Linked DNA regions of Bombyx mori. The protein of the gene in region 2 purifies or fractionates together with the protein of the main gene of each other region. This does not show direct contact. Links are inferred from orthologs where the notes say so. Each region holds a gene or a part of one and is shown on either strand. Other genes may lie near its edges.

The links. Proteins that work in one complex are often made in the same cells at the same time.
Region 1: the proteins of ribosome biogenesis protein BMS1 homolog (region 2) and probable RNA 3'-terminal phosphate cyclase-like protein purify together in Homo sapiens (co-immunoprecipitation; 4 studies listed by BioGRID and IntAct, with this or other methods). This does not show direct contact. The link is inferred for Bombyx mori from reciprocal best matches to the Homo sapiens genes BMS1 and RCL1.

Annotation. Positions count from the first base shown.
Region 1 is NC_085114.1:14,714,231-14,718,336, forward strand, and holds the start of probable RNA 3'-terminal phosphate cyclase-like protein, read right to left. Parts: upstream 2,864-4,106; 5' UTR 2,743-2,863; coding exon 2,451-2,742; intron 1,989-2,450; coding exon 1,803-1,988; intron 1,223-1,802; coding exon 1,053-1,222; intron 305-1,052; coding exon 170-304; intron 1-169. Other genes in the region: exosome complex exonuclease Rrp40, read left to right, coding at 3,322-4,032. UniProt on the Homo sapiens protein: As part of the small subunit (SSU) processome, it plays a role in 40S-ribosomal-subunit biogenesis in the early pre-rRNA processing steps at sites A0, A1 and A2 that are required for proper maturation of the 18S RNA.
Region 2 is NC_085129.1:15,212,263-15,216,350, forward strand, and holds the start of ribosome biogenesis protein BMS1 homolog, read right to left. Parts: upstream 2,815-4,088; 5' UTR 2,749-2,814; intron 563-2,748; coding exon of another isoform or gene 440-562; intron 1-439. Other genes in the region: protein Aster-B, read left to right, coding at 440-562. UniProt on the Homo sapiens protein: GTPase required for the synthesis of 40S ribosomal subunits and for processing of pre-ribosomal RNA (pre-rRNA) at sites A0, A1, and A2.

The sequences.
Region 1 (4,106 bases), on a different chromosome or scaffold from region 2:
CCACCTTGAGATATAAGTTCTAAGACCTCAGTATAGTTACAACAGCTGCCTACCCTTCAGACCGAAACGCATTACTGCTTCACGGCAGAAACAGGCAGGGCGGTGGTACCTACCTACGCGGACTCACAAGAGGTCCTACCACCAGTAAAACTTGACACTTGACACTTACTGCTTCAGCACAATAAAAGGTTTTCTCATCGGTTTCAGCAACAAGACTGACTCCAAAACCCGGACTCTTGCCAGCGTTCGACCCTCGACACTGGTCCGTGTTGATGTAGACATCCGGTAGAAAATTAAGCATCACCTGAAATATAAAGATTCTAAATGTAGTGACCCCTTTATAGAATTGCAGAGGAAGACACATAATGAATTCCTTAAATATGAGTTAGTAAATTCATTATAATTGGAGAAAATACATCACAGAATGGCCTACAACTGATGAAAGTCTATGAATGTAACATGTTATTCAAAAAAATCGGTTGTCTGTAAAATCGGTTTACTGATGATAGTTGAATGTGAGTGACAACATCATAAGAAAATACTGATGGAATGGTTTCATTTTTCAAAAGAAAATTTTAATTTTATTTGTTTGATAGATATTGTCGCTCGTTGCGCGCTCTCGCTTTCACTTCAAGCCTTAAATGGAACGTCTCAGAGCGAGGTAACGCCGCATGAGTCATGTTTTTAGTGCGTGCAGCCGGCTCCATCGAATTATATGACGTTGTCACGTAAAAAATTTGTTATCAACTTACTTTATAGTCTCATCCTTATATCTAAAAATATTGTAGTGTGTAAGCGGGCCCGTTGCCTATTAATGCGTTGCCTATTACTACCACTCAGTAATGCATTTACAGGTTCGATAGTTCTGATATTAGTTAATTGAAATCTAGCCCTTATGTATGTGTGGCAAAATTAGAGTTGTTAGGTATATAGGTCCATTAACCACTTGATACTACTTAAACTAATTAACCGATAAATAATATAATAGAAAAAAACACTAGTTAGGCTCATCTTCTTTGATCTTTTATAGTGGACAAAAACTATTTTCTCACCCCTTTAGCAGCTTCAACAACTCTGTTAGCCATCGTAGGAGACACCCTTAAAGCATACACTATTCCTCTTATTCTCTTCACAAGACCCCATTTGGTCCACTGTAGAGGTCGGAGATGACGTTTGACTGGACATTTAAAAACAACTTCGCCTCCCCCTAATGGTGGTGCTCCTGTAATATAGGTGACAAGTTATTGTAAATTTCTTTAAAGGAAATATCAGATATTAGCCTTTCTTTTTTTTTATAAACAAAATTGGCTCCAACGCCTTAGGCATTTTGCCAATGTCACAGTATAATATGCAAAAACGACGGCCGCTTAGAAAAAAAATACCTAAATACAAATTTTATCAGTTTTCTGCAAAATTCATTTTTTTATTAACCCACTTACATACATATTTTGTCATGTGTCATTTAAAAAAATAGCAGATAGTTAAGGTGGAGACACACAAAACATTAACATAATTAATTCCTTTAAACTCCTAATAAACAACATGAAAAAACACATTGTTTACTTTTGATTCATGAAAATTTTAACGTCAGTTATTTTTGAAAAATTTAATAATTTTGATGATTAAAATTCAATATTATAGACATTTTTAAGAGATTATCTAATCAAATTTACTTTTTGAGGAACTCATTGTTACTTTAGGGCACTGCATTAAAACTATATTTTCAAATCTCACTGGTGGATAGCAATGTTTCTAGAGGAAGTCATGTTACTTGTTAACAAATAACTTTGATCAAAACTAACCTCTTCTCACAATTTTCAGATCCAAGCCATCATCGACAAGAATAAATTTAAGGAGCACAGGTAGCGCTGCCGTCTTTATTTTGTCCACTGATACATCTAGGTCACTGTGGGTTACTCCTTGTAGGACTGCATTTAAAGGTTCCTTACAGAATGGTCCCAGGGCTAGTAGAACTTCAAGATAATAACCTAAAAAGGTTATTTTTTAATTTCAATTTGTCAGTCCGAGGATGAACATAACAGGAAGTATTTAAATGCTGAGTTAATGTTCAGACCATGGTATGGTTTGATTTAGTTTAGATAGTTACATCAGTCAAGCTGATGTCACTAAAACTACTTTCAAAAACAACCAAGGCGTCCTCACTCTGTCAAAACTTATTTTAGTATTTAAACTGGACTCTCCTAGACGGTTGCATGCCTGACAAAAGATTTATTATCCCATCCTATAGTATATATTAACAATATTTATTATGTCCATGCCTTGCTCCACTGAACTAGACTCTCCATGCTTTTAGCTATCAGGAGAATGTGTATGCTGAATTGTCTGAATTTCCAGCTGTAATCAAACTAATATATAATCTTCTAATTTAGAAAACTACATTCCTAATAACGTATTTGACGTGAGTAGAAACTTTATTGAAGACCACTTACCTATCCCTCTCTGGGTACAACAGTTGTGATTAACTTGTCCACCAATCAGTATACCAGGCTGGTAATATACTGAAGTACCGGTTTCGCTCAGCTCGACTCTAGTACCGTTCGTCACTTTATCCAGTAGCCGAATTAAACTGACTTCATATTCCCGAAGACCCGGGTCATCGTTGGTACTGCGAATGTCTTCTATTTTAATAGCACGCCCACTGAGAGTCGAAAGTAGCAATCTTTGACGAAAGTAATTGCTGCCCTTGTATTTTATTACGTCATTTTCAATTACTGCGGGCATTTTAATATAACTAATACTCCGAATTAGTTTTTCGGTGATATGTAAACAGCGAACATGTGCAAACCTCTAGGCACTGCGAGTTAGTCAACTGTCAAAAGTGTCAAAGTAATAGCAATAGTTGTATTTTTTCATCTAGAAAGGCAAAAGTATCAGACCATATACTATCTTTTAAATATTGTGGTATATTTCTATAGAAAATGATGTGGATGAATGAAATGAAGTGAAGTTAGTTTATTTGACTATGATTACGCAGCTTTCCTAGACATATTATGGTATTCTGTGATGGAACCTAAAGTCAGCATTATTTCAATGGATATCAGAATTACATACATGGGTACTGGTTTCGGCTCAACACATTTAATGTTATCATTACTTAATTTTATTTCCTTCGCCTAAATTTCATTTTTCATACAACAATTAAATGCATAAGATTTAACTGGTAGGTACCTATGCGCTATGTTTTCTTTGCCTATTGGATGGACCAATCAAATCAAATAAACATTGCTGTTTTAGAGGTTAGGGCTTTGTATTTATTTGTGTGTTCATTTATAATTCTCACTAAAATAGAACAAAAATATCATGAACGTTTCAATAGATGATGTAGTTTTACCTGGAGATCACTGTCCAGAGATCGTGGCGGCTGGCGAAAAAGGAAAAGTTCTACTAGGTCCTGGACTTCGCAAAGAAATTAACGGTGTTTTTATAACAAAACCAGGCGTATTACGGAAACGAACACCAAATACATACTGGGTGGACAATTATCAGAAGCGCTATGTGCCTTCTAGAGGTGAAAATGTGATCGGTACCGTGGTACAGAAAGCGGGCGATATTTTCCGTGTGGACGTCGGGGGGAGTTGTGCCGCATCGCTGTCATATCTGTCGTTCGAAGGAGCGACGAAGAAAAACCGTCCCGCAATCAAAACAGGCGATGTTGTGTACGCGAAAATGTTAAACGCAAGCAAAGATATGGAACCAGAGCTTGTGTGCGTTGATTCGCATGGAAAAAAAGGCCGACTAGGAGTATTAGAAGAAGGATTCGTATTCAAATGCTCTTTGAATTTAATCAGAAAAATATTAAACCCACATTGTCCATTATTGAACTCATTAAAGAACGAATGGCCATTTGAATTAGCAGCTGGCATGAATGGAAGGATTTGGATCAAAGCAAACACTATGAGAGAGACATTGGCTCTAGGAAACGCGATTTTGGGCTCAGAATATTTGAGTAACGATGAAATTAAAAGTATGTGTAAGAACATAGCAGTTTTACTCGCAGGTCATGTAAGCTAAAATAAATGAAAAACCTTATTAAAGAAATTTGTTTTCTTTTTAAGAAACTTAAATCATTTAGAAAATCTTCAATT
Region 2 (4,088 bases):
AGAACCTGTAGCCCCTATGATGTTCTTCAATAGCAGATGTGATCAGATGTGTTCCCATTGCTGGCCATACATAGAGGGAAATTTATGATAGTTATTATAAAATAGTGTTCATGATGTACCTCATGACTATGATTGCACCAATAATTATTGTCATCACTCACCGATCGAAAAAGTAAAGCAAACTCATCATCAACATCACCTTGAAGAAAATTATAAATTGCTATCTATCCCAAGTTCTTGAGGACAAAAAGAAAATATTAATTAAAGGAAAGTGATGATTTATGTAGTTTCCCTTACTTACTTATTTATTAATAATGATAATTTAAAATTGGATATTTTTTGAAACTACACTACGTATGCCATCATGTAAATCATGTTATGATATCTCTGAGTTTTAGTAACCAAAATAGCTTCATTAATTATTTTTGTTGTAATTCAGGCGAAAATCTGTGGAAAACCTGGTTCTATCTTCACAAGATGCAATAGGGCAGAGTATCAGTCAAGCTCTGAACTTTTCTGGAGTGATATCGCAGCACACGTCCCAACTCATACAGGACAGCAAGTGAGTTTAATTATAATTATAAATTAATAAAGTTTACTCAAGGACACAACTAAGTCTCGGCACTAATAACGGGCTTAGTGAATTTTTACTATTGGGAAGCACTCTTATCAATGGAAAAATTAATCCTTTTATCAATGATGTATACTTTGTGTATTGATTGTTTGTATTACCGTCCGATGGTAGCACCATCTAGCTTTGTTAAAACGCGTAGCGCAATCAACATCGTTGTGGCTTAAAGGATAAGACGCCAGGTGCATCATTGTTGTTGTTGTTGTAGTCCTAGGGTACCCCGCTGGTATATAGGGCCCTCACAAGGCAATGACGCCCGGTGCATCATAGCCCACAAATTTTTTTCTACCGAATCTTATACCCTTGAGAGCCTATGTCAGCGTAACCTAGCAACTAGGTGAGCTCACGGGACTTAAACCTGACGACGTTGCTAACACTAACCCTAGCAAGTGCAGTGCTTCACAGAATCTACCACCGGATCGGAAACGCGAACCACCGAGATGATCCGGCAAGAAACTCAGTGAGCTGGGTCTGTGGGCTAATTTACTCGCTCAAGATTTTAACAACAGATCATGCGTCTCACAAATAAGATTCGATTAACATTCGCCAATCTACAGCGTAGTTTCCCAACGAAACATAACGCTCTTCTTTTTCTTAATATACTGTGCCTTAACAAACTTCAAATTATATATTACATTATACACACAATTATTTAACAGGTTCTACGGTATTCACAATTAATTACTTTCCGATATCATGTTCATATAAAGTCTAGAATCGTGATATATTTTACTTTAAATGAAATTCAACCTATTTATGTACATACAATTGTTTGCGAATTAGGTTCCAGCTGGACACCACCCTGTCTATTAATGTTAATGGATACAAGCGATTCTACCTCTCGCCTATCGAATAAGTAATGTTCATCTCCATAGTTTCATACCATATCACCTACATAAAGCATTTTACGTGCAATGTATTTAATTGCACACTTAATCAATTAAAACTGAGAAATGTGACAAAGGAACTCAAATAAAGAACCATGAATAGTGATGTGCAATAGCGAATCGGTTGATAATAGGTCCGATTGCATCGATATTTATGATTGGTTACTAAAATAGATAAACCTATCTAAAATAGATGACTTTTTATTTATTGCATAGATGGTGCACGATCTCACAGCTCACCTGGTGTTAAGTGGTTATCGGAGCCCATAGACATCTACAACGTAAACCCACCTTGAGATATGAGTTCAAAGGTCTCAGCATAGTTACAGCGGCTGCCCCACCCATCAAACCGAAACGCATTACTGCTTCACGGCAGAAATAGGCAGGATGGTGGTACCTACCCGTGCCGACTCACAACACGTCCTACCAAAAGTAAAGACTACAAATTGTTTTTTGCCTTTCATTATGATTGATCATTTGATTGGTCTTGAGCCATTTACCGTATCGTATGTACGGTACATGTTCTATACAAGTACGTGAGAAAATAAATAACAACGTGATTATGTATTAGAGTATAATATTTAAAAATGTTAATTGCGTTAATTTACAAGGTGTTTGAGATCCCTGATAAGGTTGATATAACATAACTTAATATTTAGGTTCTTAATTGACGAATCAACAATGTACAGCGTACGATAGCTCATTGGCTGATTCCGCCACTTCGATAAAGCGGCCCGACACGAGAACCCTCTCATCGTGGTCGCCGGAAACTACATTCCCGATCCTGCGGACAGAATGGAAAGCAGTCGACGTCGCCCAAAACACGTCATCTCGGATCCTCCCGATCCACTAACGGTGCTTCTAGGGACTTCAAGCACCGGTCACCGTTCTCGCCGAAACCGTCGCTTGCGACGAAGGGCTCGACGAGTAAACTCTCAGACACAGCCCACTGAGTTTCTCGCCGGATCTTCTCAGTGGGTCGCGTTTCCAATCCGGTGGTAGATTCTGCGAAGCACGGCTCTTGCTAGGGTTCGTGTTAGCAACGTCATCAAGTTTGAGCCCCGTGAGCTCACCTACTAGTTAGGATTACGCTGGAATAGCCTCTCAAGGCTACCAGCTTAGGTAGAAAAAAAAAAGGCTGATTACGAGATTCAGTTAATTCTTAATGTTTTCACTTATAGTTACTTATACTAGGCCAAAATGTACAATGTTTTATAGTAGAGCACTCACTCCATTAGACAGATACAACACGTCGCGTACGACTGGCCTCACTCGAACGTAATAAGTATTAAACAAAGGCAAGTTGATTTTCATTGTAAAAATCGTTCTTACGAAACTAGCTTTGTTACAGTTTCAAATAGCCAATTAAATTTAATAGAAGTCTGCTGCGCGATTGTAGCTATAAAGCAGATATGTGAACACTTTGCGCGCTCAATGAATAATTATAATATTTCGTGATTCCTAGAATTATATCAGATCAGCTCATGGCCCCTCTGATGTTAGATGACTACCGTCTGTATATGTCACAGCTTCAATGCCATATTTGTGTTTACTTTATTTCGACAAAATAAAGAAAACATTAAATCGAGATAATTTTTGTGCGTTTTTATTTTTGGAGTGATTTACCCTTGCAAAGCAAAGCCACCTTTGTTGTTCGAAGTTATATATGAGGTTATATAGTATGGGAGTGGTCTGAGGAAATGTTGGAGATGATACCATCACCTCGTTTTTACCATCGCATCGCCCGCCACCGGAGTAGAGCTCATCCATTCTACTTGGAGCCATTGAGTTCATCCACAGTGCGTTTTCAGAGATCTCTTTTGCCACGTACCATCCAGATTTGGAATGAGCTCCCCTCCACGGTGTTTCCCGAGTGCTATGAAATGTCCTTCTTCAAACGAGGTTTGTGGAGAGTATTTAACGGTAAGCAGCGTCTTAGCTCTGCCCCTGGCATTGCTGAAGTCCATGGGCGACGGTAACCACTCACCATCAGGTGGGCCAAGTGCTCGTCTGCCTATAAGGGCAATAAAAAAAAAAAAAAAACGTTGAAATCTAATCGCGACTTATGAATAATATTCCCAAATAAATTTAGATAAAAAAAATTATAATAAAAATTTGCCGACATCTCTATTATTAAAATCTTATCGAACATATTATCAATGTGGTATCAATAATTCAGTTAGTTGGCAAACGGTTTCTGTGGTCAACAGACATGACTCAAACGTGTAATTATCGGGTGCATTATTCACACGCGGAGGATACAGGAAAAGTAATTTTGAGGTAAATAAATTTACTTAAATTACCGGTTGTGGGACGCGTTATGAATTCGTTAGTGTTGGGATATTGTTATTGGGATTGTGAAGCGCTGCGATTTGATTATATCCGTATTGTTGGTAATTGTTGTCTGATACGTAACTGTTAACAATAAGAAAGTGCTTTATTGTTCTGTCTTAAAAGTCTCTTTGTTGGGATTTGCGATGATTTGTGATATTAATGATTACTATGTAGTTTAAGAATAAGTATGTTTTTTTTCGCTTAGATGTGTGGACGAGCTCACAGCCCACCTAGTG